3 linked regions of the Daphnia pulex genome follow. The protein of the gene in region 1 purifies or fractionates together with the protein of each later gene. This does not show direct contact. Links are inferred from orthologs where the notes say so. Each region holds a gene or a part of one and is shown in the gene's direction. Other genes may lie near its edges.

Region 1 (8,360 bases):
GAGAACATCGAAGTCGACGAAAAAACCAAAGAACAACAGAACATCAAGTAAATCGAACAGAAAACACATATGGAAAAATGATGTCAACCCTCCCCACAAGCTTTTAACCACATCAATGACTTAGATCACCTGGGCCACCATTCATCAACCAAGAGGGAATTTTTAAAGATATAGGGACCATTACTTCTAGGAAACACGCATTCACAACAATGATTCGATTCAGAAATGAGCAGAGCAAATCTCGTCTGAGAAATATCGATAGGCCTATATGTATGCTCGGTCGTTATCAACCAGAAATTATTTGCTTATTTTCTTTTGCGAGAACGTTGAAAGAGAGAAAAAAAAAACAATGAGAGAAAGATGGACAAACACAAATACAACGAATGCGTTATCTCCATTTTAACGCATCACTTTTTTTTTGGAAGAGTGGCCCGGCTACGACCTAAAAAAAAAACCAATGGCGCTACACCACTAACATTCGGTACTTGATGCATCAAATTTCCATCGCAACACAAAATTGTTATTAAAAAAAAATAAACAAAACGTAAAACAAATTTCTTTCCTCTCAACGTTCACCAGGCCGACAGACGAGAATCACTCAACTTTCAATCGTTTGCTGAATTCTTCCTGTTGTTTCTGTTTCCATTCTTTCTTGGCGTTCATACGTTTTAGTGCTCCATCCCTATCAAATTGGAATTCAAAAAGCGTTAAAATCGGCGATTTTTTCGAGGTGAAGTCTACGAAGACCAACTTACCAAGCTAGATCTACTAGGCCGCCCTGTTTTGCAATCACTGCTTTGACTCGATTGGCGAAATCAATTGCACTTTCTTCTGGTCGACGGTGCATGGGTGGTAGGTACCAAACGTCGCAGACCAAAGCCCAAGAGGACATCATCATGTAGAGATATTGAATCATCGAGTGGCGACTAGAATTCCAAAATGCGTCGGTAAACCTTGCGTCGTACTAAATCACAAATAAAATTATTATAATGGCAATCTCAATGGCAATCTCGTAACGAAGCAAATTACTTTAATTGCGACAGGATAAACAATACTGCCAACTTCAAAACTGCCCTTTTTGAACTGCATCACAGAAGTGTTGTTGATGCAGGTTCCCTCGGGAAAAATAAGAATAGGCAACTTATCAGGATCGTCAACGTGCTCTTTTAGTCTGAAAATATAATCAAAAGTCAGGATTTTCGAATAGGAACTCGATCTATAAATCCGGTATGCGGCAATCGATATTACCTTTTAGCAACAGTTTCACGATCTTTGACTTCGGAGCGTTCAAACCAAATGTGAGCAGAAGCGCGAGCCAAAGCTCGCTGAATAATGCCCAAAAATCCACCGTGACGCTGGCCAATCTTTAAAAAAATAATGAAAAGTAAATAAATATATAGATTTTTAAAAATTTTAAATCCAACATACCAGCGCATACGCATTGTCGCAGTGGAGAACCATTACGTCCACCGGAGTCGTGTGGTTCGCCACACAAATACCACACTTAGGTATATTCTCTCTATTGTGAAAAGTGACGACGGCTGATAACGCGCATGATAGAAAATTGAAGCACCATGTTGAAACCTTCAAAACCAAAACAAAACCAATAAGATATTAAAACAAGAAAGTATTGTAATGCAAACTCTTAAAGAAAAGATATGAATAAACGGAGCAAATGTTGATTCGAACTTTGTCCTATTCGAACCATCGGGAGTTCTACAGTTATCTACACGAGGTCAAATTCGATAACTGAACGGGGTAAAAAGAGAATTTGGAGTTTATACCTTCTCATAAATGGCTCTTTTCATGGGACCTTCATTTAGGAAGCCAACCAGTCCTGTGCACAAAGTTAACCAAATAACCTATAGAAAATCACATCAATCAAAGACAAATGAATAATTTCATTACAATTGCAATAATATAGTTAAAATAATACTAACAAAATAATTGACAAAGAACACATTTTGAAGTATACTTACAGCTAAAAAGCAAATTGTAACTCTGCTTGGTAGAAGAATGAAGTAGCGTACAAAGAAACCCAAAATCCAAGTAATAGTAAGGCGAACACTGATGAACTCATAGTGGCGGTTTGTGCGAGTAAGAAGATTCCAAGACTGGGAAGTACAAATTTAATGTTAGATACTGTGAACCAAATTGGTAGGTGAGATTTGAGTACCTTTAGTTCTTCAGCTACAAATCTTCCTGTAACTTCGTCCTCAATGATTGCTTCCACCCCCGCATGAACAAAGTCAAGGCAGTCAGATAGAATAAAATCATTATTCAAACTGTTAAATGATCTGTTTTTGGGGATGGAGGGTGTCTTTGGAGATGAGTTTCCATTAGGTAAAAGTACTAGATCTTCCTTGGACATTGCTGAAGATTTTATAATGGCATGTCCAGTTGATAATTTGTCCTCAGCTTGTTCCACTGCTTCCACAACATTTCCATTTGCATAGCCATTCTTTCCTTTATTGGTCTCTAGTTTCTTTTGCTGCTCAGCAATTTCTATCCTACCAGTTCCATACTAGTATAAAAAAGATTATGAGCATTACGAAAACTCAAATACTAAGAATAAGACATATTACCTGAAAGACCTTCAATAGTAGTTTAACATATCCTGATCGGAAATTCCTTGACCAGTTGCATGTCATCACTAGCACCAAGCAACCAATTACCAGGATAACAGGCATAAAAATTATACTAAGTACTAGCAAAAGAATTAAATTTTCGAGCCCCATTGTAATATTGTTGGTGGGAGCTCCAGTTCAAGAAGTTGCTGTCGTTGTCGAACACCAAGGCAACAGATGTCGGGACCACGTTAAAGGAAGTGGTGGAAGAGAGAGATTTCAAGGTTGACAAGAGAAATGCCGATTTGAGTTGTTGTGCGTGAGTGGAATTCGCGTAACGTAGTCTACTAAAAGACTGCTACGACAGACGTTTTGGGACTCTCGTTTATAATGGGACGTTCAGGCTACAACTGACTTCAAAAATACGTCTGTCTATTGGTTCTATGCGTTGCGCGTGCGACCTTGACGCGATTAATTATCTTTTTCTAGTCCTCCCATGCTTACCAGCACGATTTATCGGAATCACATAAAAGTTTACTTTGGAAGTCTCCACCCATCTGTTTTTTTTCCAATGCGTAATGAAAAATCTAGAAAATACAAAACCTGGGTGATATTTTCCTCCGTTCACGGAAGCTATTTCAAAACATGTTGGAATGCGGTTATTCAATATTTAATTACGAAATTTGTTACAAAAGTCTGTTGCTTGTTTACAATTACATAATCTGTGACAAAATTATATATTCGATGAATAATCAGTTCATGAAAAGAAGAATGTGAGAGGTAGGCAACCATGTGTCATTTAAAAGCAGATGACGTTTACATAATCAGGGCAGAGGTAAACAGTAAACATGGCGATCTCGACTGCGATTCACAAACTCAGAGATTCGTTTAATTCAGAAGAATCCGCGAATGAATCTATTCGCTGTATTAGTCAATGTAAGTTTTTATAATTATAACTGAAAGAAACATTTTTTCGTACTCCGCTCAAGTGTTCGAAATTAGAAAAAAAGAAGGAAAAACACGTGTCCATCATGAGCGCGCCAGATTTAAAACATATGTGTAGAAAATGTTTAATAATTTTAACAAGTTAACATCAATGACTTTGTTTAATTTTTCAGCAATTGCATCAAAAGAATTAACAATTCTCAAGCTAGTTGAAGATTTGCAACCAGATTTACTGAATCAACAAAATACTCACCGATGCAAAGCAGTGTCAACTATTGGCACAATCTTGGAACAGTTGGGGCCTGAATTGAAGGGACTAAATGAAAAGGAAGTAGAACTTGTAACAGAGTTCTTCTGTAGCAAGCTAAAAGATCATCATTCAATACTACCTGCCGCACTGCAAGGCCTCCATGCTTTGGTATGAAAAAAAATACTATTCAATACAAAAGTGTTAAATTTAATACCTTGTCATAGAGCACAGCACCTAAGCTTTCCCCTGGATTGGCCAGATTGATATCCCAGAGCATTTTTCAAGATGTTCATTGTCAATCACAATTGCAGCATGACAGAAGAGCAATTTACAAAACAGTGAAAAACCTCTTGGCTTTTCATCTAAAAGGTCTAAATTATAAATTTCTAAATATATATGCTGTGTTAGTATTTTCTAAATTTTATTTTTAAACTTACAGAATTACAAGACCTAGGCCAAGATTTTGTTTTTGGTCTCATCCAGTTAGCTGATCAAGAAAGAGACCCACGTAACTTGTTGATTCTCTTCAGTGTTTTCCCTGTAGTTGCTCGTTACTTCAGATTCGAGCCGTTTACAGAAGAGTTTTTCGAAGTTTTTAGTTGCTACTTCCCTATCGATTTCACCCCTGTAAGTCTCTTGAAATTTTCAGTTTATTGCTACATGTCAGTAAATCCTAATACTCTTATTTTGAATAGCCAGCTAATGATCCTTATGCAGTAACTAAAGAACAGCTCTGTGATGGATTACGACAGTGCCTTGCCGGTAGCCCTCATTTCGCAGAGTATTGTTTGCCGTTACTGCAAGAGAAATTGGAATCTGACTTGGTTTCAGCTAAAGTAGAAGCCTTAAAAACCTTGGTAATTTTCCCCTTCTATATTTAGTCTTTATGCTTCAATTCTATTGTAATTTTCGACTGTTTGCAGGAACTCTGCTGTCAGACGTATCAACCAGGCCAACTTGAAAAATGGGTGGACTCTTTCTGGACGAGTATACGTAGAGAAGTCTTGATCAATGTCAATACCGACGATCTTGAACATGCCTCACTTGATGCTCTTGCCGCTTTATCCCGAGCTTTTACAACAGACGGAGAATTTAACAGTCCAGCTTTTACCAAATTACTAAAAAATGTGCTGACCGGTAAATGTGTAGCAAATATTCGTTTAAGAGTATATTTAACTGTAGATTGTATATTAATAGAATGTCAGGGGCACTTGTGTGAACCGGAACGGCGATTAATGACTCCGAGCAGCTACATTTTGCTAGCGATATGCTCGGGAAGTGCGCCCGCGTGTGCATTAATTGTTAGCCAGGTATTATTCTTATTCTCTTATAGAACTACAAACATTTTTTTTAAAATCTACTTAACAGAAACCCATTTCTCTAAATAGGTCATTCCCCTTTTGATGGACCAGTACAGGATCAGGCCACAGTCAAATCCACGTCAGTTCATCCTTAATAGTTTGAACAAAATGGTACATGCTGGTCTCTATGGTTTCACTGAAGCAAACGGTACCACATTTTAAAAATTATTAAAATTAGAAACATTTTCATATCTTTGGTTATATTTTACAGTTGCTCAAAGTGGTGTAGCTTCTCTGATACCAAAATTGTTAGAGCTGTACCTTGAGGTCTTACAAGAGGATGACGCAGTTCTTCGCAATCTAAGTCTGCAAGGATTGAGCCATTTAATTGGCACCTGTTTGAACCACCAAGACTTGGAAAAGGTCAATGGAACACTTTTAGATTTACTCCAGAAATCAACAGCCACCGATAGCGTTATTGCAGAGATTGGTCATTTCTTTTGCAAAAGCGCAGAGAAGAATGAAAACTTGTTCCTTGAGCAAGTCTTGGTTAAGCTGTTAGATATAGCCGTCTCAGGTAATTTGAATTTTACCAATTAAAATACGGAAAGAGGTTATCTGTTGGTTGTTTAGGCAAAGCCAATGCGGTTTTTCTTGTGTTATCAACTCTACCGACGTTGTCCCAGATTCGTGCGCAGGTGGTATCCCGACTAATGACCGTGCTCGAACAACCCGAACTGGAATTACGACTTGAAGTACTCAAAGTTTTGACTCATTTCGCACAAAGGGACGAACTAGAAATATTCCAGCAATTGCACCGCTGGGGATTGAAAACATTGGAAGATGGAGATCCTCCGGCGTCACTCCAAGCCACTTGTGTTTTATTGAGAAATCTGGCTTCCAGTTTATCTTCCGCGTAATTCTATTAGATCAAAATGTTGGAAGAAATGTTTTTGTAATCTTCTCGGCATTGTACAGGAAAGCCACGGAATTCATCAACGAACAAACCGAACAATACGTAGGTCAACATCTTGCTCGTTCTCCGTGGACGTTGTCCATAATGGAAGCGACATTGGGATCATTGGATGCCACACCTAGCGGACACAGTCTTGAACGACTAGTTAACACACTAGAACCCATTACTGTTTGTCATCCAAAAGCCGACGTCAGACTGTCTGCCTGTCGGCTAATAGCCGCTCTGGTCAACAAACTTCCTGAAGGTAAAATTTATAGGATCTATTATAAAGTCAAAACCATCAACGTTAACCATTACCTGCTATGTTTAAGGGCATGAACTGGAAGCTATACTCGATTCGTTGCGGCGCAAATGGCAGGATCCATCTACAGACCGATGCAATTCTGTTTGCCTGTTTGTTTGGATAACTAAAGCTCTGCTGATGAGATCTTATTCCAAGCTTAATCAGTATATCCAAGAAGTATGCGATTGGATTACAGACGTAACAGCATGCGCCATGACCTGTATTAACGAATTACCTTTTTCTTTGCAGTTAGTTGATTCGTTGAACGATCCCACGCACGGGTACCTAGTGGCAGAAGGATTTAAAACGATTTTGTGTGAAACCGAGGAATGCCTGAATTTCAATTGTCATGCCAACATCAGGTTTTTTAACGTTTTCCATTTAGTTGTACGAACATTTCCTTATTGATTAAATTCTTAGGTTAATGTACCGACAGAGGTTTTTTCAAGAAGTTGTACCTCGCTTGTTGAAACTGTATCGAGAGTCCGAGTCGTGCAACAAAGCAGCTTGCTTCGCCGCCATCGCCAATCAACTAGCCTTCATTCCGGAGGGTGTTTTAATTGCCCACATAACCACACTCATCCCACTGCTGATCCAGTGTCTGAGCACAGACCAACCAGCTCAGCTAATTATTTCTACCATCAACGCGTTCATGGGTCTCATGTCCGACAATGTCAGTGCCATCGAAGAGTACATCAGCAGTCTCGTGCCCAGATTACTCACCCTTGCCAAAGACGGCATTAACATGGTAAGATCTACCTTTGTTCCTTCACGCTTGTAAATTTTATACTTACATTTTTATCATAATCTCCAGGACGTCCGTCGACTTGCCCTTCAATGTCTCTCTGAGCTCAGGAAGGCCCAATCGATTGTTTTACTCCCACTTCGGTCAGAGGTAAATTTTGGCTTTTCCATAATTTTGAACTTCAACTTCGTATTGTATAATAAATTTTAATAGGTCATCCTCCGTCTCGTCCCTTGTCTGTCCGACAAAAAGCGATTGGTCCGGCGTGAGGCAGCATTGGCAAGACAAAAGTGGATTATGTTGGGCCAGCCCGGCTGTAACTAACATCTCATTAGTGTGCCATAATTCATTCAAGAGCTTCAATTACACTGTTTTTCTAACAGAATTGTCAAGCATTAGAATAATATGTATTCTCTTCTTAACAATTCCGCGTGATGATGGTTTGTAAAAAGTGTCGAATCAAAGAGAAACTCCAATTATGTTTGAGGATCGTGCTCTTAAAAAAAATTCCGAGCAAAAGAAGCTGTTGTAGATGTCAAAAAGTGCCGTGGAAAGTTATAACATTTTGGCTAGGAAAGGATCAAACAGGATTAGAATACTGCTACAGTTTGTTGTTGTGAGGTCTTGTTTGCAGTGGCTGTCAGTAGTGCTCCGTGTCTATTGCGGCTTGTCGTCGAGAAAGTCGAAGGAAGCCTTGATGGTGTTGCCACTAAAAACGTCGACGGCTGAGGCGCGTATCTCCGTGTCGCCGAATTCCATCGTGACGCGGATTTCACGACGTGTTTTGACCGCGTAGGTGAAGCCCAGGTCGAGTGAGAGGGTAGCAAACAAACGGACACCAGGATCCGTAACAAACTGCATAAGTCGTTACTTGGTTAGTAACCAAGAACCATCCGAATGGTTCCGACTTTCGTTTGAATTTTGTTTTTTATCGAGGAGGGATTTTTGTTGTTTCAAACTGAACTGGGAAAAATGGAAATTTTAAAAAGGATTTATTACCTGGACGTCGTCATTATCGGCGCTGAAGACGTTGAGAACGATGCGCCGCTGGTGGCGTCTAGCCGGGCTGTAACTGCGTATGACACGCTCGCCCATGCTAACACTTTGATCGGCCATGACGAATTTATCGAATATGTCCTTGCAGTAGGCGATGCCATCTTTGATGACGCGTTTATCAATCGGGTGACGGCCCTGGATGAAACGGTTGAGGACGGCAACACCATAGGTCAAGCGCGAACGGCGTACTGTGATGGCGTGTGGGTTCACTCCGTATTGGACGGCTCCTTTCAGGAT
Region 2 (8,313 bases), on another chromosome or scaffold:
TATAAGCCTATGTAACGGACCTGGGCCGATTTGTTGTCGGTTACAAGAGGAGCTCGACGTGAATTTGCGCGTGTGTGTGTTTGGAGGATTGGATAAATGTTGGAAGCGGCTGGGCTATGAAGGAAAAAGAGGTCAAGTTGTGCTTGTTTCCAGCAGTTGTATAATGTATTATACCTTCCGATTTGTGTGACTGGCCCCGCTTTTTCTCTTTTTGTTCTCTCCTATATACATATTGTCTGTCCTTTTTCTTTTCTATTCAAACGCGCGTAACCGTATCCCCCTTCCCTTTCTGGTTTTGTCTCTCTTTCTCCCTATTGCCCAATTTCCATTCCGGGGGGAAGTTTTGGCCCGGCGCTTTTGCCAAAAAATGTTTGGTAGGTCCATGTGTGTGTCCGGCACTATATCTGCGATGCATCTGTGTGATGGTATATAGCAAAAAGTAGTAGAACTTTGGGGGGGAGGGTAGGGAGGAAATATATACATAACATATCCGTTCTGTTCCCTTTTTTTTTTGGTCCGTCCTATCCGGTCAGTTTGGACACGGGCCATCTTTGACGGCCACCTCTATGCGACCAGCAAAGAAGGGTCGACACACAAAAACGTATAGACATGGACGAGATACTACATCAGCTGGGCCGCCCTCCCATCTAGACCCGATCTATCCGGATGACACATAAAACTTGTATAAATACACACACACACAGCACAGGGAGAGAGCTGGATGCGAGACTATCACGATGGAATATAAACCTTATAGTCAAGTCGCCCCCTCCGCCTTTGTATCCAACCGAATGGCGTATTAGTTTATGTATCTCTCAATCGCCCTGCTGCAATATGCTCCGGCTATCTCTCTCTCTTTACTCCTCCAAAACGGAGCCGGAGGAAGAAGCCGGATGGCCGGCATCTCCCCTCCACTTATTCCGATACTTAACCTTTTACTGACAACTGCGCCGCCCTCTCCCGAGGAGAGACTCTGCCCCCCCTCACTCATTTGATATACACATGTACACACAGAAAAAAGAGATAAGAGAGATGCTCGCAGTAGTACTACTCTTCTAGCTGCTATATAGAACGATCTAGTCATCTGATCAGGAATAACGAATCGCTGGCTATACCGTCGACTCGGACTGGGTTTTTTTTTTGATATTTTTGTGTTGCCCCCTTTCATTTTGGCTTCACTTATTTAACCGTGTGTCAAGTGCCGAGGCAGATTTTGACATCGATAGAGACTCTTGTCGTCGTCGACGTCGTCTCTTGGGCGCAATTTTATACGCTGTGTACGTAGATGCGGCGCGCCCAAGGATCTTTTTCATGTGTTTGTACTATTTTCGGGCTTCCGCACACGGAATCATATTGGGAAATGTAATTTGAAAGAAGCTTAGGTTTCTTTCCTTTATTTTAAAAACTTACGCAAGTGTGTAGTTTTTAATTTGTGTGAAGAGTTGGCCGCCGCCTTGAGAAAAAAGGAGTGACCAATGGCAGGTCCACGAATGGGCGGGGTTTTTTTATTTTCCATTGGCGCACAGGGAAATGAAGACGAGCCACAGCTGCCGCCATCGCGACATGAAAATCATTTCAGATTTTTATTTATTTTTTTTTTCTAGCGCAAAGCATTCAAAGAGAGTCTGTCTACATGCCAATCAACTGGAGAGAGAGAGAAAAGGAGTTCTCATTAAGAGTTTGCCACGGGGAGTCTAATGACACACGGCCATGGCATAGACGCTAGAAACTGAGGGGGCCTCCTCCTCCTCCTCCCTCTTGGCTCTTGGCTTTTCTTTTTTAACCGTGGGGATTTGATTTAGCGCCGCAGTGTCACTCGAGTTATCCGTCGTTTGAGAAAAGATGGCAATTGCCCGTGATGAATTATAGCCGGAGAATTGCCGCCGCCGCCGCCGCCGCCACCACACTACCTCCACCACCACTAGGTAGGGGCCGTGTGTGTAATATCTTCGTCGCCCACCTGGCGCCAGATGGGCACCACCTCATTCGCCCGGCAGAGAGACTTCCAAGTCTTTTTTTTTTCAATGAAACATTTTCTTTTTCTTTATTTTTTGGGAAAAAGGAAATTGATTATTTATTCCTTTTATGATTTTTTTGTTCTTCTCTTAACCGACCGATGATGATGGACCGCCCGTCGTACGATTTCATCTTGTTTTCTTCAGGTTGGGAGGGAAATACAAAACAAACATAACATGTGAAAAAGAGAAGAAAAAATAAAAAATAAAAAATCCTTTGGCGGAACCCGATCCAAACGCGCTTGGTGTTTCCAGACCATTTCTGATAGCGAAAGATTTTTAATGGCGACTATACATTTTTCTTCCCTCCTTCTTTCTTTTGGGGAATATTTGATTGACTTGCTCGAATCATCTCGCCAAAAGAAAAAGAAAATAAACTTGAATTTTCTTTTTCTATTTTTTCAAATTTAGATTATGTGTATGTTTATACAGAGCCAAAGAAAAGGTCGTCGTGTGTATAAGTGGTTGACGCAGAGTAACAAATGCCTCAAGACCGTAGATGGCTGGCGTGTCCGTAAGACGGTAGCCGGTCGCGCGGTTTCTCTAATAGATGGATTCGCTCCCGAACTTGTCGACTGTACAGAAAAGAACAAAAAAGAGAAGAAGCTGCTGGACAAAAAAAATACAAAAACAAAAAAAGACACTGGGCAAAGAGAGAGAGGCGCCGCCAAAGAAGGCTATCCGAAGGCCAGCAGCCAGAGCAAAAGAGCCAGCACGCCACACACACACACACGCCACTTTTTTGCCCTGACGACGGACTGTGGACCCGAAGGACCCGGTGATGGGATCCTCTCGCGCCCAGGCAGGCCCCCATCTTGTCTTTTTTTTTTGCCCCGGCTATATTTAAATATACATACGAGCGGACGGTTCAGTTTCAGGTGTGTTTCCGTGTAAGTGATGGGTGGATTCTTCGTCTTCGTCTACAACGTCCTTATATAAATGTATCCGCTTTTGATATTCTTCTTCTTCTTCTTCTTTTCAAAGTCTAAAACGAGAAAAGAAGAAGAGGAGACCACGGGGATGTTTGGGGGTCCTGGGCGATAGAGAGAGGGAGAGAAACAGACAGACACATATCAAAGCAGCCTGCTGTTTTGTGGACCGATGCAGCAGGACTCTCCACTCTCTTGTTGTTTTTAAAAAAAGAAAGAAAAAAAAACTTCAGTCGTCCCGACAGGTTTTTTTTTTCTTCTTCTCTTTCCTCTGCTCTTGCCCGCATTAATAAGCTGAGCAGGTACCAAATGCTTCATGAGCCTGTCAATTGGAACCGCGCGCTCTCTCGTCCGTCCTTTTTTTTTTCTTTTTTCCATCTGGACACGCGGAGCAAAAGCAAACACAGCCCCCCACATCTCCTTATTTCTATTCCCTTAAAAAATAAAAATAAAAAATAAAATACTTTGATGCCTGCTCCTCCTTCTCCAGTATGCAAACAAACTCCTTAGTAGAGTCAGAAAAGGAAATTTCGGCGTTAACTTTTTCAGAGGGGAAAAAACCTTGGAATCAAAATCGAAATCTGTGGGATATTTTCATTGGAGCTGATCACGGGCTTGATATGTACGCCAAAAAAAAAAGAGGAATGAAAAATAACAAAATCACAACCTACAAAATATTTTAATATTAAGGATTCTCCATTTTTTCCCTTTCCACAGACGCGCATATGGACGTCAAATTCCCCAATTTCTTTTCTTTTTTTCCCGCTTGCCGAAAATTCTTCGCATACTTCAACTTAATTCACAAGCGTGATACGAAGTGAGCGAGTGCGTCTTTATACTTGTCGCGTCGAAATCGATATGTGGCTAATATTTAAACCAGCGAAACATCTATTTTTCATTTGAACAATGTCTATTTTGGGTTTCAGGCTTTTCGGGGTTCATCTTTTTCTTAATGATCAGATTGGTTTAATTTGTTATTTATCAGCGGGTGCTTTTTGCGTGAAAAGATTGATGAGATGATCTTCCCTGTAATTCCACATTCCCGAGCGATGCTGAATCACGGCCACAGAGACGGAATAGTCGCCTTCGCTGCCACCTAGTGGCGACAGTGAACAACTTTGTCACGCAGCGGTGACGAAAACGAAAAATCTTGATTAACAATTAATGTTGGAATTAAAAATATACACGGTGATGCAGTTGGACAGTCTGGATTTTTTTTGCCACGTAAGAATGAGGATTGAGGACATCACGAACGTGAATAGTCGTCGAAAATTCCATTGATTTACGAACGCGCCCGCTGATAGCAGACGCAAATTGGCAATCCCTTGTCGTTTTCCCGGCATATTTGTTATCACTTGGTGTCCTTACCACGTTGTTGTTTTTTCTCATTTTTCTTCTTTGTGTCCTCACGGTTTTTTCATTAAGCTAATTGAACACAACCCCAACATACCAGTTTAAAAGGTACGACCATTTTTGTTTGTTTTTTCCAAGAATTACATAAATAACCACGTGAAGGGCTAAAATCGTCATTGAGTTGCCAGTTGATTGCCATTTGAAAGTTAATTTACCTAGACAGCATGCACAACCAGCAAAAGACTTTTTCAAGAGCAATGGCAAACAATGACAAAATTGTTGATACCTTTTTTCTAGGGAAAAATGAACTCAAAAGCTTTCAATGTTACAGAATTGCTAGAAGCAAGCAATGTGGTAAAACCTGATTCTTCTTATTAGCCCATCAACCGTAATTTTATAATAAGAATTTGAATCCTGTGTTTTTTTCCTTCAAGGTGTGGCTTGAGTGCTACTCGTCAAGAGTGTCAAATATCTTGATGTGGTTACGCTGAATTGAACAAGTTCAAAACACATCAGGCGCTGCTGCTCTCATTATTATGACAGTGAAAGTCATTTTTAATGTATTTTCCACTTCTTTCATACAGAGTCAGTTGGCATTCAATTTAATTCCTCCCAAGTTGTGACAGGTAGATTAGGTAGGGGATTTGGTTGGGGAAAAGTGTCTGAAACTTGTTTGAAAGATTTGTTGCATGTGAAACAATCCTAGCTTGAAATATTCAACACCACCACTGGTTTCCAAACAGTTTGAACTTTGAGACTTAAACACCTAAATGCCAGATCACTTTTGTAAAGCCGAATAACTGCCTTTGCCTCGCTTTAGTTTTGGTGCTGCTGCCGGTGTATCAAGAGTACAACACAGTTCAACTAGTTGACTAGTTTGCTTTTGATCCGCTCTTCACCCCCCTCTTCTCCGAGTTTGGCCCAAGTGGAAGCAGCTAGAATGCCTTGTTATTATTGCGAGGCTGTAATGAGTTTTCAGGCATCTTATCCTGCACACATGCATCACGCCAGCAAGTCTGTGAGACGGGCGGACCAAGGTCGAAGATACCCTCCTAGCCTCTGGTTCTTGTCACAATCAAATTGGATGTTTGATCGTTTAAACTCTGTCGGCGTGATGTGACTGTTATAAGTTTCCCATGAGGGAAGATTTCAAGACAGGGTTCGACTTGACAACCCCCTCGACTTGTAACATACCCGTGCACATATAGCCTCCAACACTGAAAATTACAGACAAGTTTAGGGAAGTCTCTGCGGGGTGCATTTCGCTTTGGCTCATAGGCCCCGAGCTTTTGGTGTAGTAGTCTCTCACCTGGTGACTGACAGGCGAGAAACGTCAACATTTCAAGGGGGAAAAGCCAACAGCTCCGAGTGTGGAATCTGAATCATAATTTGGACAGTTGTGTGTCTGCCGTGAAATGACCCTCCTCCCAGAAAACGAAAATTAAAAAACGTAGCCACAGGTCAAACACGAAACTGTTGAGGAGAGTTGCTTGATGGTGTGTCTTGATGATTTGTTTATACGCGTTTTCAGGAAACTACAAAACACCTCCCCCGCCCTTCGCCTGCTGGCCTGTTTGTTGTGCCCTTAGTTTGTCCGTTTCCTTCCAATCCCAACTTTGTTGTGTCCGACCATTTTACAATTGAAAACGAAAAAGGAAAAGTAGAAATAAATAGGAGATCTGTGGGCCGACGGAAGCGTCGAACGCGCGACTTTTGTCAGGTTGATGATAGAGGTGGCCCCCCTTTTTCTTTTCTAATTTCAACTGTTTTTCTTCTTCTTCTTCTTGGTATATTTTGTACCTAGTCATTAGTGACCTTGTCTTCTCGTGTCGAGGAAACAGCAACACAATTCCCGTAATAATAAGGCGAGCAAACAAGAGACGTTGCCCGGAGCCCACCAAGAATTGAATTCTTCTTCTTCATTTTTCCCCCATTTTGCACCTGTCATCACCGCACCAAACAAAACTGGGATAACCGCACGCCATTTAACGAGCCTGTCGTTAGTTTTTCTGTTTGCTTTTTTTTTCTTCTTCTTGGTTTTTCCTTTTTACTCATTTGCGGCTGCGTGTGTGTCATTTTGTTGGTCTTTTTCGCGTTGAGAAGATCACGCTATCGCTGAAAAGAAGAAGAAGAAGCCTGGGCCCAATTTTTGTGTGTGTGGCGCAGCCCTGGATTATTAATTGGATGTATTTCAGCATCCCATTTGGTTGGCTCGGTTAGGTCCGTGTCCAGGCAGACAAAAGCTTACCGTTTTTCCAGCGTCCTCTCTTATTATTTCTTTAGATTTTCTTATTTTTTATTTTTTCGTGGAAAACGTTTCGCTCGCACGCCAGGTGCATGGCACGTGGAAGGGAAATCTTTTTTTCTGTCTATTTCGTTCTCTTTTCTATTTAATTCCCTCAAACTGGTTTAACCTACAAATATTCTCTTAATGAATAATGAATCAGGTGGCGGCGGGGGCCTCGTTCCACCCTCCGTCACCTGCGAGTCGGCCATATTATCAGCCGATGGATGTCATCGTCAATCAAAGTGGAGTTTCAGACCATTCGGAAGCCGAAAGATGACAATCGCCCAGCAGAACAAAAAGCGCAGACGGACCTTATTTGGAAGGATTAAAATACTTTTGTTTTTCTTCTTCTCAGAAGATTGCATTTAATTTTGGAATCATTAGAAAGAGAGAAATAGCCGATTGAATGCAAAGAGTCGATACTTTTGTGTATCGATTTCAGCCGGTTGATGATGATGTACTTCAACGGTTGGCGGCTATTCTTCTGTTTATTGATTAATGATGGAAAAGGAAACTTTTCTCTGTCGTCGTGTGTCCGCACTCTGCGGGAGTCACTCAGTCGGATGATGAATGTATCGAATAATTGGGACTTGCCAATGTAATTAGTCAATTCCGCACCACCGCCATCGTCTACTTCCTTTACAAGTGCGGGCGGATAGTTAACATTTCGAATTTCGTTTCTCAGTTGATCCCCTTTTTCATTTTGGTTGCCGAGTGAAAATAGAGAAAGAGCCGCTGAATGTGAGGACTCTCCATCCGTCCAGTCTAATAATAACGAAGGTAGCCAGCTCCTCAATGTATAGCGATGAAAGAAGAGAGCCTTAATGTGAGGCGACCACTCGCTTCAGTCGTTAACAAGAGAAGAGAGAGAGAGAGAAAGAGAGAGAGGAAGATGATGACTCTTTTCTATGGGATGATAATCGTCTCTAGTTTCCTCTTGTTCCCTTGTCAGCATCTCTCTCTCTCTCGCTCTGTGTGTGTTCTTCTTCTACTCTGACGCACGCTGAATAATACCGAACCGGCTCTACTCGTTAAGATAATTGAAGCGACGTCCTCTGAGAGTGGGGGCAATGGAAAATAGCTTTTTATTTGGAACTGACGAACCATTTCGGGTTTTTTTTTCTCTCTCTCAAATAATAATCGAAAGAAATGTTCTATTTTTTATTGTTGTTTATTTATTTTTTTAAATATTTTAAATTTTTGTTTCATTTTGATTCTTTCGCAGATGGCCACTGTCGTTGGTCCGGACGGCCGGCTTCACTATGTCTACACAATCAGCGGTGTCCGTGTCGAGTTTCCGGCCAAGGCTTATCCGTCGCAGATTGCCATGATGGATAAAGTAAGAGACACACATGCTTCTTGTATATTTCTTTTTATGGTAGGGGAGGCTCTGATCTACTTATGCGTAAGCTGCTTGCGATCCTATTGGGATGATGATGAGGCCACCTCACGAACGTGAGCCACACACACTATACCAAATTCGTTATCTTCTTTTAACATCAATACGTAATCAGAGGGAAAGGCAAGCGGCAGACGAAGGGGGGAGAGAAAAAAAAACCCCAAAAAATGTGTGTGGGGTTCATTAAGTAGATATTACTAATAATTTATTTGTTGTCCAGGTGATTCGAGGATTGCAGCGTGGCCAGCATTGTCTACTGGAGAGTCCGACCGGATCCGGCAAAACACTGGCCTTGTTGTGCGCCAGCCTGGCGTGGCAGAGAGCGGAAGC
Region 3 (6,663 bases), on another chromosome or scaffold:
GTCATCGGCGCCCAAGCTGATGACGTACGAGGAGGTGTAAGTCAGGACGGACACGCTACCGTCATGAGCCTGCAAACTGTAGACGCAAGTCCCGCTGGAGAGATCCCACATGCACAGCATTCCGTCTTGACTTCCGCTTCCCGATGCGCTGCAGGGGTAAGCTTCGTCGATAAACATGGCCGTGATGGGTCCGCGATGCCCGTGAAGACAGTAGAGGGCTGTCAAGGTTTCCAGTCGCCAGACTTTGAGGCAATGATCCAGCGAACCCGTAACGACGCGGCTGCCACTAGCCGAAGCGTCCAACACTGAGATGGGCTGTTGGTGAGCTCTAGCCCAGTTGAGCCGGACCAAACGGAAAGCTAATGGAGATGATCGGTCCTCTTCGTCGTACTCGTCGGCGCCACGACGAGAATGAACGTGGTGGCTGACATCTTCCACAGGACTGTCGAAATCGGCGTGAAACTGGAACGACTCCAGGACTCCATTCAATCGGGCAGCTAGAAGATACTCGCCACAAACTTTGAGTTTGGCCACTCCGACACCACTGCCGTCGTCGTAAAGACAACGCAAACCGGAATTATGGCTCCAAATTTCAATGCGTCCGTTGGCACAGCCCAGTGCCACTTGGCCATCGAAGCATTGCATGCACCAGACGGGCGATGGAAAGTAAGACGTTTTATTATTTCTCGTTGGACTAGTTCTGTCTTTCCAAGACAGGTTGTTAGGGCTGGCCGGAGGAGAATGAAACGAGCCCGGGGATCTAAATACAATCGGATTAGAAACGGCGTGACTCAACAGTCCGCCCAGTTCGTTAGTGGATGAGTAAGTATCGTGGCGTGGAAAATTGGGAGAGGCCGGCGACGTTTGTTGCTGAAAAGCGGCGAAATAAGTGTTTCTATCAATTTGAGCTACGGCATCTCCCGTCTGGATGTCCCAAATGTGGAGCTGGCCGGCCAAGCAGACACTCGACACGACATCTCCATCGGTGGATATGCATTCGATGGGCGAACGATGACCGTCGAGAACGAGAGGCATAGATTCTGCTACTATCTGTGAATAGTATTCGCGAGACTCTTGCGTCAACCCACCACCAGCATTGCCGGCCCAGCCCCAGAAAGTCGAAGAACTCCTCCATTCGGCGTAGTGCCGAGAGCAGATGCAACGATATAACACGACAGTCACGTAGGCGATAAACACCACGCTCGGTATGGCTAATAAAGTGGTTAAAATAATTTGAATGGGCGACGAAGGAACGTAGGGAGTCTTGTTGTCTTCATCGGAGCCACCGTTTCCGCCTGATCCGCCGCCAATACTTCCGTCACCATGGCTTCCGGACAGGCCGAAATCACTATCGTCACCGTCAAGAACATCAAGCGTATCGAGAGCTGATGCCAGAGATTTCCATCGCGATCGCGTCAGGTACTCGCCATCGCGACTGTTGCGCACTTCTGACACTCGTTCTGGGTTGACTGGGATAGAGATTCGAATCGGAGGCAACATGGCTATGCACTTTCCGGCCAACGAGATATTGTAAATGTCCAGCAGGTCGGGCCAGTGGCGATAAGAGAGCCTCCTCCAGAGCTCGACGTTTTTGGGATGTTGTAACCGATTCTGCCAATCGATTACTTCTTTGCCGCTGGATGACGTAACTGATAGTTCTGGTGCGGCCGAATTGGCTAGAATCGTGGATTCTTTCAAAAGATCTGGTTCTTCCGGTTCAATACAGTTGGATCCGGCAGAACACGAAACTTTGAGATTAGGATGTGGTGCTGGAAATTCAACCTGTGAAGAATCATTGGCTTCGACAGACCATCCGGCCGATTGATCAGCCAAATTTTCCATCACTACGTATTTGTAAAAGAAAATGCTCATCCATATGACCACACCCACCATAAAGGTACGCTGAAACAAACGCGTGCGAGCCCAAAAGTGAACGATCCTTATCCGACGTGGTACTCTGGCCGCAGCTGATCGATTGTGCGTGTAGGAGGATGGTGCTACGACGGCCGTTGGGGTATTTTTGGCTGAAACAGCTGCTGAGTGGACTCGGGTGCGCAAGTGGGGATGGACAGCATTCCCCGTAAATGCCCTTTCTGCTGAACTGAGAGTATGGACGGTGTGGTTGGTCGACAGGTACTGCTGACCAGGTTGAAGCTGCCGTCGTTGGCGCTGAATTTCCGACAACTCTTTGCGCAATATGTCGATGGACAGGACGGTGGAGAAGAACAGCATTTGCAGAACGAAATCGGAGAGAAGGGCGACGACGGCGAAGAGGCAAAATTCTTGAATGGCCGGCACGAAGGTGAAGAAGCCCACCGTCAAAATAGTCACTTCTGTTAACAAATTTTTGGTTATGTTCCATCCTTCACGACTAAGTCCCTGTGCTACACGGATCTTGACGTCCAAATTGGCTGGAGTAGAGACGACAGAGCGAGTCAAAACTAAGATGTTCTCCAGACCAACGATCACCACTAAATAAGGGAAAATGTCTCGTCCCTGAAGAGTGAAGCGCAATCCGAACCACGTGCACAGGCCGACCGACATGCCCAGCGATGCTACCACTGTCACTACGGCGCTGAAAGCCATGCCAAACTTGGATTTAACCATTTCGATCTTGCGAACAGAGAAGTAAATGTACAGGAACAGGATTAAGTAGACAAAAGTCAGCGGGATGAGCTCCAAATAATTGAAACGTTCGGGATAGTAAATGTGAACGATGGTGCGTCGAGATGATGTGGATTCTTGAGTGGTGGAGTGGAGAGGAAATTGATTGCGGAGCTTTAACCGCAAGTCATAAAGAAACGGTTCAGAATGAGTTTTAAGTAAGATTGTGATAGCGTACGTAAGGACGCGAGAACGAGTCTTGACTGGGAATTTTTTCAATCCACTATTTTTGAGCGGGACGCCGTAAAGTATGTCGGCCATACTTGATCGCACTTCTACCACTGGGTTCTTGAAAGAAAATATGGTGTCTAAGAACTGAGCGTCGTTGCGGAAGGTATTTTCGTCCAGCTTCCACAAATTGGCCGGCGACAAAATGATGCAGCTGAATTCGGGTAGAAGATGTTGAAACGAACGAGCTCTAGGGGCCACACTCTCCACGTAAAGGCAAACATCTCTAAGAGTCAGGTTACTCCTAGGTGAATGGAAACCCACTACATCAGAATGCAGCTTGAAGACTTCACTCAATGGGCCTCGAAAAGCATCCATCATGCCCAAATCAGACGTCCATGGATTGACAGAGGACCGTACAACTATTTGTTGTATGAAAAAAGATGGTTGCTGAGTTCCCCATCTGGTTGGATACTGAAAGCTTTTTCCAAATTCAAGATCAGAAGAGATTCTTTTCTCTGGAAGCGGGAAAGATATCTCCTCTGGTTCATTGCCTGGAAAAGGCAAGGACAATAAAGGATGACACGAAGTGAGAACAATAATAATTGCCACTATGATTGTGCACCAGGGGTAGCTAGAACACAGAAGGCCATGTTTGTAGTAGAGGAGTGCTACCCTGTCGGGTATACTCAGGCCTTTGGTGCTTGAATTCAGTCCACTTCCATTAGCAAGTCCAGCCGAATCAACATCTTTGACGGCGGGATGATGACCAATTTGTGGCTCAACAAAAGGCATGTTTGAGTAAGTCCAAAAATATTAAAACAAACTGTAGACGACGAATAGTGAATAAATTTCACGACATTTCGCCACACTTTCCAGTATTGGCAATATTGGGAATGACCTCCGAGAGCAAACGTTTCTCCTAAACAAGAAAATCAATATAATAAGAGATTTTTTAATTTAAAACCGGCTGCAGATTCAATTTTAATCTCTATTTACCTGTCGAAAATGCCCAAAAAAGAAAAACATGTCAACTAAAGATCAATGCCTTGACACAACTGGAGCGTCTAGTGCAGAAAATTGTAACGTGGTGGTGGAATTAAACAAGAAAAGAAATAATACAGTACCTACCAGAGTTGTCCTAAAATTTGTTTACAAAAATAGTTAAATTAGTAAAATTCGTTTGCCAATATGTTTTATGGTTATTAAGTTATTTAGTTTTAAATATTGCCGATTCCGCAATAGTTCACTCAGCCGCCGCCGCGCACACAACTAAACATTTATCGGTATCGCTAGATGCCGTTACTAGTTCTGTTTACTTGTAGTTATTCGCATGTTATTCGTTTCGCGATTGCGTTCGTTATTAGTCGGATAAACTTGTCAAAGTGTTGAATTGTAAGAATGACTTCCAAAGGGATCGAAAATGTGAATCCACAGTTATTTACGAAGAAGACAAAAAGAGAAATAACAAGTGAAGAAGAAGATGAATCAGTAGAGGATCCCATAGATGAGAGGGAAATATTCGGTAAAGACTTTCGCACTTGCGTAATACATCATTAAACAAATTCGCTTATCTCTCCATAATTATAGATTTGCTAAGGGATATCAATGATCCTGAGCATCCTATGTCACTTGAAGAACTGAATGTTGTACAAATCACGAATATAGAAGTAAAATATGAAATGTCTGATTTCACACAAAATCATTACCTCTATTTCCTTTATGTATGTACAGGTTGATGACAAAAAAAGCAGTGTTAAAGTCTTTTACACTCCAACAATCCCTCATTGCAGCATGGCAACTTTAATAGGACTGTCCATCAAAGTGTGTCTTCTCAGGTCTCTACCACCTAGGTTCAAAGTTGAAGTAAACATTTCCCCAGGTTCACATGCTTCAGAGGAAGCTGTTAATAAACAGCTAGCTGACAAAGAAAGAGTCTCAGCCGCTTTGGAAAACAGCAATCTACTTGAAGTTGTTAATCAATGCTTAGTAAAAAGTTTGGAATAATAACCATTTGATCAATACATTATGGATGAAAATGCAGTTTATTTTGATGGAACACATTCAAATCTATTCAGTGACAATTACTTTACATTGTCCCTGTTCATTTACATTCAATTAGAACCATGAAAGTTGTAAACTACTTTAAACCACTTTGCTTCATTTGAGCATCTTTGGACCCCAATTATGTCATTTAAAATATTTACCTAAAAACAAAAAGAAAAACACATTGCTTTTAAAAATAAGATGATCCAGTACTCTCAACTGCAGGGAACATTTCATTGCAGAAGCCAGAATTCTGGTCATTCAGTTTGAACGTGCGACCTGGGACGAAATCTTGGCGTTTCTTCTTTTTGTGAATCCAGTGCTTAGTTCCCGGAATGCTTTCGCGCTTCTGCACAGTGTAACTAAACAACACAGGGATGTTAAGTTAGTTCGACGCTGAAAAAATAATTGTGACACTCACTCTATGTTGAATTCAGCTTGGCCCATACGCAAGCATAAAAGAATTCCGTTAGCAAAGCTAACATCATTGACGAAATCGACCCGAGATTCAGCACCCACAGTGAAATCAACAGATGATTTAACAAACGGCGTGTTTAAATTTAATGACCCCTCTAGCTCCCATGCAGCGCTGAAATGAAAATATGAGTTTTATCATTATGATCAGAAATCCAGTCTGTAAATTGACTTACATATCTTCGACAACTGAATGAGAATTTCTGTTCCAAATACTGATTTGGATTTCGCCACCAAAATCAAAAGAGACAGAACCACGCACGTCGAGTGTAGTAACAAAACCACTTTGGAGTGGTACGACATTACGATAATCCTGAAGCAGCACAGTAGCCTGTTTATGAATGTCAATAGAAATGTCAATACCGAATTTAGTTTCTGTATACTTAAAACTCTGAAAAACAAAATGTAATCTACCTGTAGGGCTGTGGTTCTTTCAGATGCTGTGCCAGACCTGGACATTGGCAATGACAAATGGTATTAGTTCTATGTTACTAGAATTTTACTAATTTGGACCAGGTTAAACTCTTCTTTTCAAGGTCCAATAAGCATTCCATTTGCATTTTTAGTTTTGTTTACCTGCCAAAACAGCATGGAATATAGTAAAATATATACACTTACCAGACATGGCCCATTAGCTCGCTTTGACCCGAGAAGAAAATAACAGGTCTTAGCTGGACACCAGCAAGTGTGACTTCCATGCCTGCTGTAGGTTCTTCTTCGTCACCTTCAGTAGAAAAACCCATCAAAGAACCCATTCCACCGGTAAAAAGTCCGACCTATTTGTTACCATACCATTATAAGTTGATGTTTGAAATATTTTAGTTTCTTATATATTGTGGATAACAATTCACAAAATTATACCGAGAGTAGCTGAAAAGTGTCTTCGGGGTTTCGCAAATAAACATCAAAAGCGGCGCGTTTCATCATTTTGTTTGCCGCTTCAGTGGAAGAACTAGAATAATAAAAGGTTATCTATGAATGCGTACTTTGGTTAAATATCAAAATTTGCACCTAACCTAAAGCTTCCATTGCCATCAACGTTGCGATACAGATCGCGAGAGAAGGTCGTTGACATTCCATTCTGGGCGAATACGTGATAATTGTTAAGAGAAGGTCGGTCTGATAAGATTTGCTTCAACTGAGAACGGACAACTGGGTCATTTCCGGCATATTCTTGCAATCGCTGCAGTGAGTAGGTGTTTAGCTCCAAATTTTCGCTGCCTCCCATCGAAAGAGAAATCAAGACGTTGATAAGAAAAGTGCTGTCAGGCTGGTGATCGAGCAACATATCCAATGCCAATGTGCGAGCGC

Evidence for each region. The genes of interacting proteins can lie anywhere in the genome.
Region 2: the proteins of MMS19 nucleotide excision repair protein homolog (region 1) and Fanconi anemia group J protein homolog purify together in Homo sapiens (affinity purification with western blotting; 3 studies listed by BioGRID and IntAct, with this or other methods). This does not show direct contact. The link is inferred for Daphnia pulex from reciprocal best matches to the Homo sapiens genes MMS19 and BRIP1.
Region 3: the proteins of MMS19 nucleotide excision repair protein homolog (region 1) and cytosolic iron-sulfur assembly component 2B-like purify together in Homo sapiens (affinity purification with western blotting; 11 studies listed by BioGRID and IntAct, counting the BioPlex papers as one, with this or other methods). This does not show direct contact. The link is inferred for Daphnia pulex from reciprocal best matches to the Homo sapiens genes MMS19 and CIAO2B.

The regions. Positions count from the first base shown.
Region 1 is NC_060026.1:4,196,335-4,204,694, forward strand, and holds MMS19 nucleotide excision repair protein homolog, read left to right. Parts: upstream 1-3,372; 5' UTR 3,373-3,415; coding exon 3,416-3,503; intron 3,504-3,685; coding exon 3,686-3,930; intron 3,931-3,986; coding exon 3,987-4,131; intron 4,132-4,201; coding exon 4,202-4,389; intron 4,390-4,457; coding exon 4,458-4,619; intron 4,620-4,685; coding exon 4,686-4,899; intron 4,900-4,959; coding exon 4,960-5,072; intron 5,073-5,150; coding exon 5,151-5,271; intron 5,272-5,334; coding exon 5,335-5,640; intron 5,641-5,696; coding exon 5,697-5,979; intron 5,980-6,041; coding exon 6,042-6,283; intron 6,284-6,350; coding exon 6,351-6,499; intron 6,500-6,571; coding exon 6,572-6,684; intron 6,685-6,742; coding exon 6,743-7,070; intron 7,071-7,136; coding exon 7,137-7,217; intron 7,218-7,280; coding exon 7,281-7,391; 3' UTR 7,392-7,452; downstream 7,453-8,360. Other genes in the region: glycerol-3-phosphate acyltransferase 3-like, read right to left, coding at 595-682, 756-964, 1,030-1,171, 1,249-1,364, 1,429-1,584, 1,785-1,862, 1,980-2,114, 2,177-2,524 and 1 more; heat shock 70 kDa protein 12A-like, read right to left, coding at 7,725-7,922, 8,067-8,360. UniProt on the Homo sapiens protein: Key component of the cytosolic iron-sulfur protein assembly (CIA) complex, a multiprotein complex that mediates the incorporation of iron-sulfur cluster into apoproteins specifically involved in DNA metabolism and genomic integrity.
Region 2 is NC_060028.1:9,934,952-9,943,264, forward strand, and holds the start of Fanconi anemia group J protein homolog, read left to right. Parts: upstream 1-4,225; 5' UTR 4,226-4,405; intron 4,406-7,807; exon of another isoform or gene 7,808-7,809; coding exon 7,810-7,923; intron 7,924-8,203; coding exon 8,204-8,313. UniProt on the Homo sapiens protein: DNA-dependent ATPase and 5'-3' DNA helicase required for the maintenance of chromosomal stability. Acts late in the Fanconi anemia pathway, after FANCD2 ubiquitination.
Region 3 is NC_060019.1:10,897,464-10,904,126, forward strand, and holds cytosolic iron-sulfur assembly component 2B-like, read left to right. Parts: upstream 1-4,111; 5' UTR 4,112-4,233; coding exon 4,234-4,357; intron 4,358-4,422; coding exon 4,423-4,502; intron 4,503-4,566; coding exon 4,567-4,839; 3' UTR 4,840-4,875; downstream 4,876-6,663. Other genes in the region: sterol regulatory element-binding protein cleavage-activating protein-like, read right to left, coding at 1-3,627; microsomal triglyceride transfer protein large subunit-like, read right to left, coding at 5,069-5,240, 5,300-5,467, 5,529-5,683, 5,767-5,803, 5,971-6,128, 6,214-6,304, 6,369-6,663.